2 linked regions of the Alligator mississippiensis genome follow. Each later gene encodes a partner of the first gene's protein in a complex. Links are inferred from orthologs where the notes say so. Each region holds a gene or a part of one and is shown on either strand. Other genes may lie near its edges.

Region 1 (7,779 bases):
AGAGTAGCTCGGTGCTGCAGCAGCAGGTCACTCAGCACCTCCCCCCACCCCTTAAAGTTTGGTGCAGGATGTGGCACCCAGAGTGGGTGACTGGCCACCCCTAGTCTAATGCCTCAGCTGGCATATTAACAGTTGCTTCCAGGGTAGCGGGTGAGAGATCTAACTGGTTCCTCTTACCTGACCATTCAGTCTGGTCTCTGGTTTCAACTTCTTTTTTGGGACAAAGCCTCGGTTCACTAGGATTGTGATACTGCAGGTACAAGTAAGAACGGAGAGAGAAAAATAAGTGTTAGCAAGAGAACTCCCATCACTGAAACTACATGCCAAAAAGATTAGCGATCTACGTGTTTGAAAACCACTTTCCAGGTAACAGGAAGCAAATTAAAATGGGTTTTAAATGCACTTGGAAGTCAAGGGTTACCAACTGAGTAGACCATCTGAGAGGCTTTTTTCTTTTCTCTTGTATACATCACTGCTCTCCTTTGAACTAACCTGACAGCTGCAATTCAGCTGCTGCTGGGAAGAAACAAAGTGCCTGCTGCAGCCCTGCATAAGCCTAGAGTCCTCCAGCTAGTAGCTGAACATACCCAAGGTCTGTGCAGTAGAAGGGAGTAATGATGTTTGCTCCATTGTCCGGACTGGATGTCAGTCGTCCAGCTTCTCTGGCCTCTCGCTTAGGATCTACCCGTGAACGTGGCATAACGTAGAGCTCTTTGGAGTGATCAAAATACCCTCGAACCTTGACAGACCTGTACTCCAGCTCCTTCAGCTCTGCAGGGCTGTAAGGGAACAAGATGCACTGGGATGAGAGCAGTCTCTGGGCCACCAGAGCCAGACAGTTAAACCTTTAGCGGAATTACGGGGTCCCCTCTGTTTTTTTATTCCCCAAATGGACAACTGGCAAATCAACTGAAGAAAAAAAAAAAAAAGGATCAGCAGTAGCAGACAGAGAAACAAAATCCCCAATGAGTTAAGCATCCGACTACAGTTTAGCAGCACGCTAGTGAATAGCATGAGTTGTTAGTATCCTGGGTATACCCAGGTGTAATTCCTGTGTCACTGGCAGAACTCAACACCAGCTGGGAAGGGCCTTTTTCCTGTAGACATAGCATGTGGAGGTCAAGTCAACAGTAATTCTCCTTCCCTTCCTGACCCTTGAACCTTGACACTCTATACCAGATGGCCACATGCACTTGTTCTGTGCCTCAGATTTGTCTGAACAGTGCAAGGACCTTGTCTATCCACATGGCTTTTTGTAACACGTGCATTTTTGGTAGCACATAATGCTTTCCAGGGAAGCATTCACAGCTCATGTTTAAAATAAGATGAACCACCATATTTTTCTTTCTAGTTTGTCTACACTGCTTGCTGCTCCCATGTTGTCTATTAGTGTGCAAGTTCCTCAGGGCAAGGACCATGTCCCAAATTCCTAGTAGATTGCTGATGCTACATGAATCATCAAGTGTAAACCCAGCTTCTACACTTACTCTGAAGGCAGAGGAACAGGCTCTGATCCAACTCTTGACTCGAGGTCTGCAATCAGTTTCAACTTCCTCTTCCGGCGCTGGACCTGGGAACACACAGCAATGGCATCATCATGGGGGCTGCTGCTAATAACTTCTTGCAAGTTTGAAAACAAAATTCATGTTTTCCTCAATGCTGGGATCACACTGGTCTTTAACAGGATAATTGGAGACATGAAAATTGAAATACCTATTTCCTTGCGGGGATGGAAAGTAAAATTAAATTTTCCAACAAAAGAATTGCCTGGACTTGTTGAAACAGCCCAAATTAAAGATGCCAAACAACACTGACTAATTTTTATTTTGACACGGATAAGTCCCTCTGGCTGGCTAAGGCAGTTCTCAACTGATACCCATGTGCGTACTTTGATTTCTAAAGAGTGAAATGTTTTCATTTACCTGCCATGTGCCAAGGCAAAATGTGGTCACAGGGATCAGTAAAAGGCCCCACCTGAACGCAACATCCTCTCCAGATTCGATGACATCTGCTGTGCCACTTTTTGGTCTCCGGAGTCTCAAACAAACGTCTGGAGTGAATTCAAATTAGAAACACAGTTACTATAAGAGAAACCAGCTTACCTCCCTGCAGGGTTTGCAGCATCAGGAACTGATGTTTACCAAGCTTCCCAGCTACCATGCTACTGACTCGGTCCTAATGTTCTCTGACTCCTTTAATTAAGCTATTTTACTTACATTATCTACTCTACACAGTGATACTGTATTGGAGGCTTAAGTCTTCAGACGACATTATAAATCATCTCAGCATCCTTTGACAAGCGTAAAAGACCTCTATTTATGGAACCTCTTCATTTCAATTAATTCTAATGCATTTTACACACGGGCAAGTGGTGCCTCCCAAGTCCGGGGGGCACCAGATTGCCGATTGGGGGGGGGGAGGGGGTGTCACCCAGTGGCCAATTACCAAGCCAGCAGCAAAACTGGAAGTGCACTTCCAGTTTCATGGCTGGCACTTCCAGGGGTGCACGTGCACCCCTAGCATCGCCAATGATTTTATATAACTGCCAAAACACAAGCTTTCCCCCTTTCTTCCTCATGTCACATACTATTGGCAAGCAGCACAGGTAGAGAAAGCTGCATCAGACATCCCCGGCTGGAACACGACGGCAGCTGAGTGTCGGACCTGAAGGAAAGACGACATTTTTCCTTACCTTTAGATCCCTGTAGCAAACCGGACCGTGCTTTTGTACGAGGATATGCAAAAAACGTCCTGACCGAAACATTTGGTATCTAAACAAAAGCAAAGAGATGCCGTGTCACGCCCCTGCTTTGCGCGCTCGAGCCTCGAGCGATCAGGGCGGCTTCGGAAGATGTTATTTGCTGGGAAAGGGAGCTTGAAATGATCCAAAAGGATGATGTCATGTCTAGGGCCCGAGCCGAGAAGCAGGGGGGCTGGCAGAGGAAGGGGGGAACCCCCCTGCCACCCCCGTCCCGCCCCCCCCCCGCGCTCCCACCTGGGCACAGCCCCGGAGCTGCAGCAGCCTCCCAAGGCAGCGCCCGCCGCCCGCAGCCATTGTCCACAGCCGCTTCCGCTTCCGCTTCCACCGGAAGTGGGGACTCACTGGTAGAGACTGGTAGTCTCTATGGTTCCGGTGGTCGCGGGCACATCTACTTCTGCCGGAAGTGGGGAGTGCCCTAGTGACAGCGCGTCTCTATGGTTCCGGCGGCCGCGGGCACTTCCGGTGGGCGGGGCGCGGGGCCTTGGGGCCATGTGCGCGCTGCCCCAGGACGTGCGGCGCTTCCTGCAGCGGCACCCGGCGCTGCGCCCGCTGGGGCCGGGCGGGGACACCCGGGTGAGCCCAGGGGCGGGTCCCCACGCGGGGGAGCAGCGCGGGGGGGGTGACACGCGGGGGGGTGCCGCTGCGTGGCAGCTGGTGTTCAGCTTTGGGTGGAGCAGGAATCAGAAACCGCCCATGCCTGGACCGTTGTCCAGACCCTGCGTGAGGGGCGGGTGCAGGAGCTGGCGTCTCACACGTCTCTTCCCCCCTCGCCCCAGGTACGCTGCGAGCTGACGGGGCATGAGCTGCCCTGCCGGCTGCCCGAGCTGCAGGCCTACACCAGCGGCAAGAGGTACCTGCGGCTGAGCGGGACACCTGGCGCCTTCAACTACAGCGACTACGAACCCCACATCGTGCCCAGCACCAAGAACCCGTGCGTAACCCCGTGCTGGCGGCTGGGGCAGGGAGGAGGCCTCGGTGCTTTGGAGGGAAGCTGCTTGCTGGGCTGGGAAAGCTTTTGCAATGCAGCTTTGCTGGCTGTTGCCTTCGAGCAGGGGTGTCGAACTTGCACAGGCCTCGGGGCAGCGTCGAACTGTGCGGGCTCCCCTGGGCCCAGCAGGGCAGGTCTGCGTTCAGGCAGCAGAGCGGGTCCAGGGATGGCCAGCAGCCAGGCAAGCGAGGGTGGTGTCTGCATAGCCCTCTCTCCCCCTGTTGCTGGTGGGCATGTGCAATGGGGGCCTACGCACCCCGAATCCTGTGGCAGGACATGCTCCACTGCCCACACCGGTTGTCTGCTGGATCAGCAGCAAGCCGGCTGGAACGGTTCCGTAGGCCATGTTTTGACGCCCCTGACTTAAACCGCCCACCCAGGAGCAATGTGAGAGGCAAGGACTCTCACAGGTGATGTCTGTTATTGGGGCAGCTGCTTGGTTGGGACAGGCTTAGACCGCAGTGCCCTCCTTCGGGTCTCCATCTGCTTCTCTCTCAGAGGCCCAAGATTTGTGATATCCCAAAAGCTCATCTAAATCTATCCCCACCATAAAAGAGAGGACCCACAAGAGTCTGAGCCTCTTGCATGTTTTTTGGACCGTCACGGCTACAGCGTTGTTTCATTACTCAGACGTGGACCGTTCCATTTGCTGACTTTGCTGTGCTCACATCCATGTCTCTTCCTGTAGACACCAGCTGTTTTGCAAGCTCACGCTCAGGCACATCAACAGGGTCCCGGAGCACGTGCTGCGTCATGTCCAAGGGAAGCGCTATCAGAAGGCGCTGAAAAAATGTAAGTGGTGCTAGCGCCTTCTGCAACATCTTTCTTGATCTGTACTCGTGGCGCCCAGCCTGGTAGGTGGGAAGTGTTGGGGAAGCTCTCGACAACTTGCCAGTAACAACAGCACTCCTGCCTGCTGTTTGCAGTTTTTTTCTCTAGTTGGCAAAGCAGTGTCTTTGCTTTAGAGCAGAGGTTCTCAGACCTTTTTGTACTGCAGCTAATGCTTAAATACAGAGGTTGTGCAGTGGATGCTTTTCTATCTATGGCATCATGTGGTATCTCTGGCATTAACACTGAACATACAATTATGGGAATGCCTAATATTTTAACTCCCTGTCAATACAGTTTAGCAGCTGGAGAAGCCAGCCCTGAGGGATTTGCCAGCTGTCTGCATGTCCCAGCTTGAGCACCTTACGTTCAGCCACCAACTAGTGGAAGTTTGGATGGTGGCTTATATCTGTGGGGACTTGATGAGAGTCAAGATGAGCCTGGCAGTGTTGTTTTATCAGTAAAGGGACTGAAGCTTGTAGATCTCTGGTGGCAGTGTTTGGCTCAATTAGGTAGTGACTGAATGCCAGTCCTACCCGACGGCTGCTTGTTGGCCTGCATGTAGTGAGCTTGGTGTTCCTGGGAACAAGTGTTTGCTTTGTAAAAGCCAGCACCCCCTACCATGGGAGGTGTTTGTGTTTGTGTTTGCATCCCAGAAGCTAGGTTTGAATGGAACGTGCAGACTGAATTGCGCTGCCACCGCTAGAGGCATGTCCTGGTCAGAGTAGGAGCAGGGTGTGAAGGAAACTGCAGTGCTGGACTTCTCTGGACAGAATAGACTTGGGTCTCTGGGGATGTTTGGCTCTTGCAAAAGGTGTCAGGCTCGGTGCACACCCCTGCTACAATTGCTGCCAGGGCAGCAAGATTGAAGTGCGCGCTCCCATTTTGCATCCATTGGCTTTGGTGTCTCCCTAGGTCTCTGCAGGGGCATGGTCTGTGAAAGGTGCAGTTGCAATTCATACTGCACTGACTAGCTACCCAGGACCTTGCTGTACCTCTGGTTCGCTATCTTCCTCTATTAGGCCAGCAAGCTGCTGAATTGCTTGCATTTCTGTGTGTGATCCTAGCTGAGTCCCCCTGTTCTGTTCCCTAACTAGATGAGGAGTGCCAGAAGGAGGGCACGGAGTATGTGCCTGCTTGCCTGCTGCAGAAGAAGCGGCAGCGGCGGCATGATGACCAGCCGAAGGGGAGCAAGCCGCCGTGCAAGAGGGGGGATTTCTGGGAGCCCGCGTCCAGCAATGAGGACGAGGAGGACAGTGACGACAGCATGAGCGACCTGTACCCACGTGAGCAAAGCTTTGGCGTTTCTGAATATTGTAAACGGACCCCCTCTCCTCCCTCGGTCCTTCCTGGCACTCACTAGAAAGGCAAGTCTGTTTCAAGTGCAGGGGGGCTGGACCCGATGACCAGCCCCTAACATCTACGAATCCCCATTAGCAGCACAGGGAGTGGGATGAGGAGAGGACTTCTTGGTCATGCGTAAAAATGGGCAAGACTCTATGGAAAGAGGCAGAACTTTGCTACTTTGAAAGGGCAGCAGCAGGAGCGGGCCAGGATGGCAGTTCTGTTGATGCCTGGCCAGCGGGGAGCCCACACATTAGAGGATCATGGGCTGAACGTCTCCTGTACTTGGATTACTAAGGGTCCTGGGCCCATTGCTACTGATGTGCTGTCAGCTTATTTGCCTTCCAGGTGTTTCAGTAGTAACATACCAGTTGGTCACTGAAGGCCTTTGGTGATAGAGGTTGGAGTCTAATGCTTCAGCTTGGTCCGTTCCCCCATTAGGATGTCCCTGAAACCCCTGTTAGGATGTCTCTGAAGTGGAGTGAGAGCAGGTGCCCGTGTGAAGCAGAATCTGGCCCCATCTGGGTCTTGCCTTGTGTTTTAGCTGAGCTCTTCCCAGAAAAAATCCCAGCAGCTGCAGGACGTGGGGAAGACAGCGACGACTTTATGACAGACAGTGAAGAAGACAAGGCCAAGCCGGCTGGGGAAAATGGGGATGTGAATGGGGAGAAGAGTGAGAAAATGGACCTGGATGGACAAGGCAGCAAAAGGGGAAAGGTGAGTGCTGCACTGCTGTGGAAAGCAGTGACCCGCGTTGAGCTTGGGACATGAGGTGAACCTCTGTATGGGAGCACAGGGACGGTATCCTGCATGTTTGCACCAATAGTCCATCTGCTCTGCTGACCTGTGAGAGGGGCAAATGAAAGCCTAACATTTCCTTGCATGGAAGTTTCTAACAGTGAGCAGCTGGCGTAGACCATAAGCCTACCATTTCTTGGTAGACATTCATCTTCCTGAGGCTCTTTGTTCCTGTCTGTGTAATTATCAGATCTCCATATCAGCCCTCCTACACTTTGCTTTGAAAAGCAAGGGGATTGGGCTGTAAAATCTCTTCCCCGCATTAATCAAATCCCTTGACATAGGGTTAGTATATTCGCTCTTATTTCCCCAGCTCCCTTCAGTAACTACCCAGATGCTGTACAGTGGATCTCCTCCCCAGAGTACATCTCTGTCCTGATCCTGCACATCTTTGCATCCAAATCCCTGCTGTGTGTTTGGGAAGCAGCTGGACTTCATGGCCCCTGTATATAGCAGGTATAGGGATTTTGGAAAAATCCTTGCTGATAAGTCCAACTCTAAAAGAAAGTCCTGAGCGAAGGAAGTGGATTCCTTGCTGTTAGGAACATGCCAGTCTTGGGAGATCAGAGTCTGTGGTAGTTTGATTCACGTCTGCAGCCAGGTTGGCAGTACAGGAAAGCTTTGCTATTTGCGGGTTTGGCATTTGCGGTTTCAAATATTCGCGAATGCCGAATTCTCATTTTAAATGCACTTCATACACTTACAAGCACTCCTCAGGAGCTTTGTGATTGCTCCCGCTGGAGCTGCGTCCCCCTGCCCCAGCGCACATGAACGCAGTGCCTTATTTGCAGATTTCGCCATTCGTGGGGGGGATACAAAAACGTATCCCCAGCGAATGGGGAGGGTTGCCTGTATTGCCATTTAACGTGACGACAAAGCGGAGGAAGGGTACAATAGCTTGCAGATTGTAGGCAAGGGTTGAGGTAAGGAAATGCCTTGTCTTTGGCTGTGTCCACGTTCTCTGCAAACAAGATCGCGTTGACACCCAGCCTAAAGACGGTGAAGTCTGGTGGGGCCCAGGTGTTTGCTTTCTGGTCCTGGCTACGCGCCATTTCATGCC
Region 2 (7,618 bases), on another chromosome or scaffold:
GTGTTTCATAGTGTCTTGCTTTTATAAAAATATATAAATATATATGTGCCTTCCTATATAAATTCCATAGTATAACATGTAAGCTATAAATGTGTAAAAATAAAAATTTATAAATGTATATGTGCCTTCCTATATAAATTCTATAGTATAATATGCAACATAATTATGAAATTGAAAAGAATAAATCAATTAATATTATAATAAAATTAATGGGTCTAGAAAGAAAGCAAAAGGTATTGAGGAATCCCACTTGCTAGGCTAGCAAGTAGGAAATCAAATCAATGCTAGTAGTAGCCTTTGTTGTCTAACGTTCCTGAGGTGGAAGATAGCTCAGTAACTGACCCCAAGGCAGAAAGCAGGCCATTTCAAACAATGCTGCCTTTTATTCTGTTTTTCCATCCCTCCCCCAGAGCACTGGGATTGGAAGGGATCTCAGGGAAGGATCACAGTCACTGGCCAGCTACACAGTCAATAACAGAGCATTCCTTCCCCCTTCTTCCCCATCCCTCTCCTTACTTTCTGTTTCCCTGCAGGCAAGCCCAGCTTCAGCTTTGAAATGTTTCAAAACTTTCAAAAAGTTTCAACTGCCCTCATTTCATTTCAAGGCTGTTTTGAAGCCCTTCGTTTCATTTCAATTTTTCTGTTTCGAGCTTGAAACGAGTCGAAACAGTGTCAAAATGAACAGCCAGTGAAATTTCTCACAGTCCTATTAATCAGGGCCAGAACAGTATTCCACAATGGGAAAAGGTGTCTACATGAGTCTACACATCCAAAGCTTAGCAGGTATTGCCCATGGCTGTCATTGGGCCAGGGCAGGTACACTGTCTGAGTCCGTCTTTGCTTTTGGTTGTTTCAGAGTTGGTATGTCTCCCTCAGATTCAGCTGTTCTTTTATATATTTTGGAGGATCAGAGGTACAGTTCTCCTGAGCCAGGTAAAAGCTTTCCCATGGAGGGAAGAATTTCAAAGGCTGAGAACTGGCATATCTAGTCATGGAATTTTGCATTAATCCCTTGTCTCAAATGATTCTGTTGGAAATGCATCCATTGAAATAGGGACATTAGGAAACAATTTCCCTTGATACAACTGCCTTTATAGTATGTCACACGTAAATAAAATAGCTCTGAAATGATTCCAAAACATCACCTCAATAGACAACTGGAGAAATTGTAGATTTTGATAGGAATACCCTGCAAATGAAAGGTGATGAACTGACAGGGGTGGCCTGTTTGACATATTTTTGATAACACATATAACACAAACTCCAAAGAAAACAGCTTGGGTGAAAAGCTATCTGTTAAATAGCATCATAAGAAAGTAGGGCTGGGAGCACTGGTGATGCATAGGGGCTGCATGCAGGTGCATGTGCACCCCTTGCAAAAAGCGCTGCAGACGCTGCCAGCGGTGCCTATGGGTGGTTGCCACTCACCACTCCTCCCCACCCAGTGGCACCCCCCCTCGGTAGCAACTGCAAGTGGTCGCTGACTGCTGGTTGGCGCTCGCCAACTCTCCCCACCACCCGCTGCCGACACTGCCATGGCCGCCTGCGGGAGCTCCTCACTTGCTGCCAACTGACCCCTCCTCCACTGCCTCTGACACCTGCGGGCGGTCATGACCCCCCAGCCTCTGGGGGCATGCGGTGTTCATGGCTGGAAGGGACCTCAGAAGGTCATCTAATCCAGCTCCTTGCTTGAAGCAGGATCATTCCTGACTAAAGCATCCCAGCCAAGTGTCTAACCTGCTTTTGAAAGTTTCCAAGGATGGAGATTTCACAACTTCTCTAGGCAGCCTGACCACCCTCATAGTAAGAAAGTTCCTTTTAATCTTCAGCCCGAATTTCTACTGCTGGAGCTTGAGGTTATTACTCCTAGTCCTGTCCCCTACTGCCACAGAGAAGCATCTAAATGCTGCTACCCCTTCTGCTAATGACAGAGAAATCTCTCAATTCACCTCTGATATATATATATATATATATAAGATGACCTCTCTTAGAAATCAGAGAAGACTGGCTGACATTTCTTTAAAAAACAACAAACCCTTCAAAGTATGTAAGGGACTGGATTTTTCTAACACCCATGTCATACTGGTTATCTGCAGAAAAAATCAATTTGGCCTCCTACCCCTACTATTTGAGATCATAGATAAAAATATTACAAAACCTCAATAGTACCCGCCTGTATTCACTTAAGCCTGCAACTTTAGCAGCATTTCTGTTGTGTTTAATACCCCTCACATTTATATGCTTTTCTGCATCATGATGTCATGGAATCATAGAAAAGTAGGTCTGGAAGGGACCTCCAGAGGTCATCTAATCCAACCGTGTCAGAGGCAGTATCATCCCTATCCAAACCATCCTATCCAAATGCATTGTCTAACCTATTAGCAAAGCCACAGTCAGCCCTGACACAACTAAGTCTAACAACTAGAAAGGAAACATGGGAGCTAAGCTAAAGGGAGACTGAAGTGAGTTGCTGCTCATGAAAGCTCTTATACTGTTATTCAATTATGATATAGAAGTGGTTCTTGGGCTTTTTCAGACTCAAGGCACCCCTGGCTAGACCCAAGGCACCCTTCCAAAACTGCCAGCTCTTGTTTTTTGACTAAAATAAAACAGAGCAATAAAATAAAAATAACAGTGCTAACATGGCATGGCCTTGTTACAGCCTTGAGACAATCCCAAGACACTCCAGTGGTGCTGCCTCACCTGGTTGAGAATCACTGATCTGTAGGATGCACCCTAGTCCAACCCCTGCCTAAGGAAGGATCATCCCTATCCAAACCAGCCTATAGGTTTCCCTCGCTTTATGCGGGTTCTGTATGTGTGAATTTGCTCTTATGCAACAACCCTTTTTATACCAAAAATACATTATATGCGAGGTAAATTCACTCTTATGTGATTGGTGTGGTGGAAGCCTGCAGTCAGCTGCTTTGTGCAGTGCATTGTAGGAGTGATGCGCACTAAAATATAGTCTCTTGTGTGGTTCTGTGCTCCTGACTTGTTGTCTGAGACATGTGTTTCTGTAGTTGCCATCCCCATTATGAGTGTGCCCTGTTGGTGAGTACCAGAATTGTCTTGTAAAAGTGGCAGAAATGGGTCTGGGAGTCAGAACAGTCAAGGTCTTGGAACGTATCCCTATTTCTTACACCATAAAGTGGGTCCCTTTATGCAAAATTGAGTTATGCGCTGTTTTCCAGGAATTCGTGTACCGCATAAAGCAAGGAAACTTGTACAAATCCACTGTCTAGCCCAGGGGTCGACAACCCCCGGCATCTGTGCCAAGCATGGCACGCGAGGCCATTTTGCTTAGCACCCACAGCCAGCCCCAGCTCTAAGATGCTTCCAGCAGGGCTTGCAGCATCCCAGCTGCCTGCTGGGAGCCGCCCGGGCTCCCGGCTGGCAGCAGCTCCCCAGAGCCAAGGCGGGTGCAGCCGGGAGCTCCAAACAGCTGTGCCGGGCTCCGGCATCAGCTCCACACTGGCGCTTGCACCCGCGCCTTAGAGCAGGCGGCGAAGGCGGGGCTGAGGCAGCGCAGCCCCGGTCTCCCCCCACCCCGCTCCGGGCACGGAGGTGATGGCGGGCTTCCAGAGCCCGGCGCTGCTGTTTGTAGCCAGCCTGGGCTCTGGGCAGCTGCAGCAAGCAAGCAGGGGGCAGGCTGCAAACAGCTGCGCGGGGCTCTGGAAGCCCGCCATCACCTCCGTGCCGGGAGCGGGGTGGGGGGAGGCCGGGGCTGCGCTGCCTCAGCCCCGTCAGCTCTGACACGCAGGCGCACGCGCCGGTGCGGAGCTGATGCCGGAGCCCGGGGCCCCGCGCAGCTGTTTGGAGCCTCCCGGCTGCAATTGACCCCGGCTCTGGGGAGCTGCTGACAGCCACAGAGCCCAGGCTGGGAGAAAGGGGCTTTGGGTGGGGGGCGAGGGGCAGTAGAGGTGGGGGCACAGGGCATGGGGCAAGAGGCTTTGGGTGGGGGGCAAGGGGCACAAGCAGGGCATCCTGCTATGTACCCCTTGCCGGCACCGCGGCACCTTCCAAGGTAGGCACTGTGGTGTTTTTCGGCACTCCGGGCAAAAAACGTTGCTTACCCCTGGTCTAGCCTCTGGGCGCTCAGCCTCCAGCCCATGCGCCAAACGGAGCGCAAACCCTCGGAATCGGGCCTGTGCGGGTCCCCGGAGGCCAGGACACGTGGCGGCAGTTAATACCGCCAGCCCCGCGCCTGCTTCCCCCCGCCAGGCCAGGGTGGGGCCGTGCCCCCGCCGCCCAGCGCAGCTGGGTCAGGGCTGGCCCGGGCCCCCCGCACTGCCCGCTCCCGCGTGGCTGGGCTCGGGCGGGTGGAAAGGCCCGTGCAGTATGCGAGTGCGGTGATGCACCAGGCCGCTACCGGCCCAGGTGAGACCCGGCAGGCGACACCCACAAGAAGGGAAATGACGAGTAGGAGAGAAGGGCAGCGCGTGCCGGGGGGACCGTGACGCACAAGATCAACTCAGTGATGTCAAAGTCAAGCAGGGGCGGGGCGGATGCGGGGCAGGAGAGGCACCTCCCACGCAGGGGGAGGGCGTTGCCGTGACGCAAGTTCTTCCCGGCGTGCCCCGCGCCCCGCGGAAGCGGGTACTTCCGGCGGCGATGGCGCGAGTTTCCCGCGCGCTGCTCATCTTCGGCAGTTTCGTGGCCGCAGTGGGGGCGGTGGTTTACCCCATCTACGTCCTGCCGCTGCAGCAGATAGAGCGCTACAGTGAGTGGCCCCGCGGGCTCCGCCCTGCCAGCGCGGTGCAGCGGGACGCCTCGCCCCGCCCCGCCCGTCGCTTCCTCGGGGCCACTGGCCCCTTTCCGTGCGGGCCGGGGCAAGGGGGCGCTGGCGGCTCCCGGCTCTAGTCGGAGAGGGCGAGTCCCTGCCTGAGGACACGGCTGCGCCCCTTTTTGTCGCGTCCCTGGTGGGCACGGTGGGTGGCATCGAAGGGGAGGCCAGGGGGTAGAGGGACGTGCAACTCTTGGCTGTGCCTCCGAGCCTGTTCTGCAAAGCACCACACTTCTAGCTAGAGAGAGTGGTCACCCACAACTGGAAAAATAATGTAACTGGTAGTCGGCTTTTTTTGGCCAGAAACATCCCCAATAAACGCCGCATGCACACGTGCAGCCGCAGCTGGCACATGCAGCAGCTAAGAAAGTAGCCTGGCAGTTTGGAGAGCAGTGTCTTGCCCTGCCAATAAGTCTGCTGGGAAGGGGCATGAGGGTGCAGATGGAGGCCAGGGTGGTGAGGGAGGGAGTGGGGCAGTGAACGGGATCCTGGGGCTGGGAGCAGGGTGGAGTCACTGGAGTCACAGGTGGCTCGTCCATGGAGGCATGTGTCCCCTTCCCCCGCCCCCGATTTGTGCATGGGGCAAGGGTGGGCTGCCCACTGCTGGCCCAGGACGTGCCAGCCTCTTATTAGCAGGGGGCTGGACAGTCTCCACTGCACAGGCAGGTGGTGGTGCTGGGAAGGCTGGCTATGGGGGGGCTATGGAAACTATTGGGGTGATTAGAGCCCCCAAAGCCCCTCCCCTAGCACCGCCCCTGCTCTGGGCACTCTGCTGCCTTTCACTCAGGAGCCCCCTGCTGTGGGGTGGGCAGGGACTTGTGGCCAGAGGGGCCCCTGAGGGAAAAGGCAGTAGAGTGGAGTGCCTTAAGCAAGGGTGGTGCTGGGGGTGCGCTCTAGCAATCACAAAATTCCCCATAGCCTCCCCACTCCCCCACCCCATAGCCAACCCTCCCAGCACTGCCACCTTCCCCCATGCATCTGAGTCTGCCCTTCTCCCGCCCAAGCATAGCCCCATCCCAGTCCCCCTGCTGGGAAGAGGCTGGTGCTGCCCCTGGCCATGAGCACGCAGCAGACAGTCCACCCTCACCCGCGCACAAGTCTGGGGGGGAATATGTCCCCCATGCATCTCCCAGGGGCACTAGCTGTGGTGGGGAGCCACTCTCCCTCCCTACCTCCCCTTGCCCCCAGACGACTTGCCTGCGACTCCATCCAGCTCCTGGCCCTGGGGTCCCATTCACCGCCCTGGCTGGGCAGTTCCTGCTCCTGCCCCATTCCTTCCCTCACCATGGGGGCCTCGATCTGCCCCCCCATGTTCCTTCCCTCCCCTGGGAGGGGAATCTAGCTGTCCCTGCAGTCAGGTTCCCATAGCAACGGCCAGGGCACTCTGCCAGTGCTCCCTGTTTTCAGAATGGGAAGGGGAACGGCAATGGGGAGAGCTCATTCTCGGGGCTCCCTGCTGGTGCTGAAGGGTGAGGTGGGTGAATTGGGCCCCCCCATCTCTGGCGGGGGGGCTCCAATATTCCTGCCCCACCTCCCGGGGTCAACCCCCCCCCCCCCCCCCAGACTGAACTCCTTTTCCCTTTCCTTCCTCCCATTCTGAAAGCAGCGACGGGCTGGGAGCTCCACAGACACAGGTTACAGAAGGCGCTATATTTTGAAATATCTTTATTTGATACTTCATGTAACGAAGGGTCAGATTTCACCAGATTGGCCATTTTTAAGCTGTCTGCAGCCGAGCAGTTGTTTGGTCACAGCTATAGACTGCTTTCTGTGGCGAGATTGGATGAAAATTGTCACTTCTGTCTGCATCTTCAATTATGTTTGTATATTTATATGTTTGTATATTTATTTACTTCACAGCATAACTTTTGGATGCCCATGAGTTGACTGTATTTTGAGACATGTTTGGAGATCTATGTGTATATCACACTTCAGGTGTCAGGAAATAAAAAAGACACTATTTATTTATTTACCTATATGTATAAATAAAATGTGTATTTATTTTTACTTCAGCATGATTGTGAAGTAACATGCTTCCGACACCTCAAGTTGGATATATTTGGCGACTGTGTTGTTTTTTTTTTCTTTCTCTCTCTCTCTCCCCCCCCAGGTATACCCAACTTTATAGCATGATTTTTGGACACCTTAAAGTATTGTGCTTCAGACACCTGAAGTTGGATATATTTGGATATCATGTATATCATGGGTTCCCAAACTGGTACGTGTACTCCTGGGAGTACGTGACATCTTTAGGGGGTACACTGGAGAAATTGCGTAACAGTGGATTTTAATGTCCATTATAATAATTGTCATTAAGGGGTTAAAATATAAAATGTATGGTAGTAGGGGCATGGGGGCAGCTGATTAAATCTGGAAGGGGTACACAATAAGAAAAAGTTTGGGAACCTCTCATATGTATAATGGATAATCTCCAATTATATCCGACTTTTGGGTGTCCAAAACATGTTACTTCACAACCATGCTGAAGTAAAAATAAATAAACTTTTAAAGATTTTGTGTGTGTAAAATCTCTATATATACATTTATTTATTTATTTATTTTAGCATTTAAAGAAGCACAAGAGCTTGTTACGCTCATGTGGCTTCCTTGCAGTTTGGTTATAAGAACCTGAAACTGACATTTGACATTCATTGCTGTGAGAGAGAAATTTTGTATCACTTTTGCTGGGCACAAAAGTATTCACTAGCACCTCATGCCTTAACCTTCATTTTTTGCTGGTTTTAATAGATGTTTGTTTAGCAACCATGAAAGTGAATGGTGATTCTTGTCTTTGCACTTATGCTTTTCCCAGAGCAAGAGCAGGCACAGAAT

The links. The genes of interacting proteins can lie anywhere in the genome.
Region 2: surfeit locus protein 1 (region 1) and SMIM20 share a complex: the UniProt entries of both Homo sapiens proteins name them as parts of the MITRAC (mitochondrial translation regulation assembly intermediate of cytochrome c oxidase complex) complex. The link is inferred for Alligator mississippiensis from reciprocal best matches to the Homo sapiens genes SURF1 and SMIM20.

Annotation. Positions count from the first base shown.
Region 1 is NC_081835.1:60,871,508-60,879,286, forward strand, and holds the start of surfeit locus protein 1, read right to left. Parts: upstream 3,103-7,779; 5' UTR 3,056-3,102; coding exon 2,996-3,055; intron 2,772-2,995; coding exon 2,693-2,771; intron 2,051-2,692; coding exon 1,923-2,050; intron 1,571-1,922; coding exon 1,488-1,570; intron 780-1,487; coding exon 588-779; intron 251-587; coding exon 178-250; intron 1-177. Other genes in the region: SURF2 (surfeit locus protein 2), read left to right, coding at 3,251-3,334, 3,538-3,692, 4,438-4,541, 5,675-5,863, 6,466-6,638. UniProt on the Homo sapiens protein: Component of the MITRAC (mitochondrial translation regulation assembly intermediate of cytochrome c oxidase complex) complex, that regulates cytochrome c oxidase assembly.
Region 2 is NC_081825.1:39,731,843-39,739,460, forward strand, and holds the start of SMIM20 (small integral membrane protein 20), read left to right. Parts: upstream 1-4,566; 5' UTR 4,567-4,614; coding exon 4,615-4,723; intron 4,724-7,598; coding exon 7,599-7,618.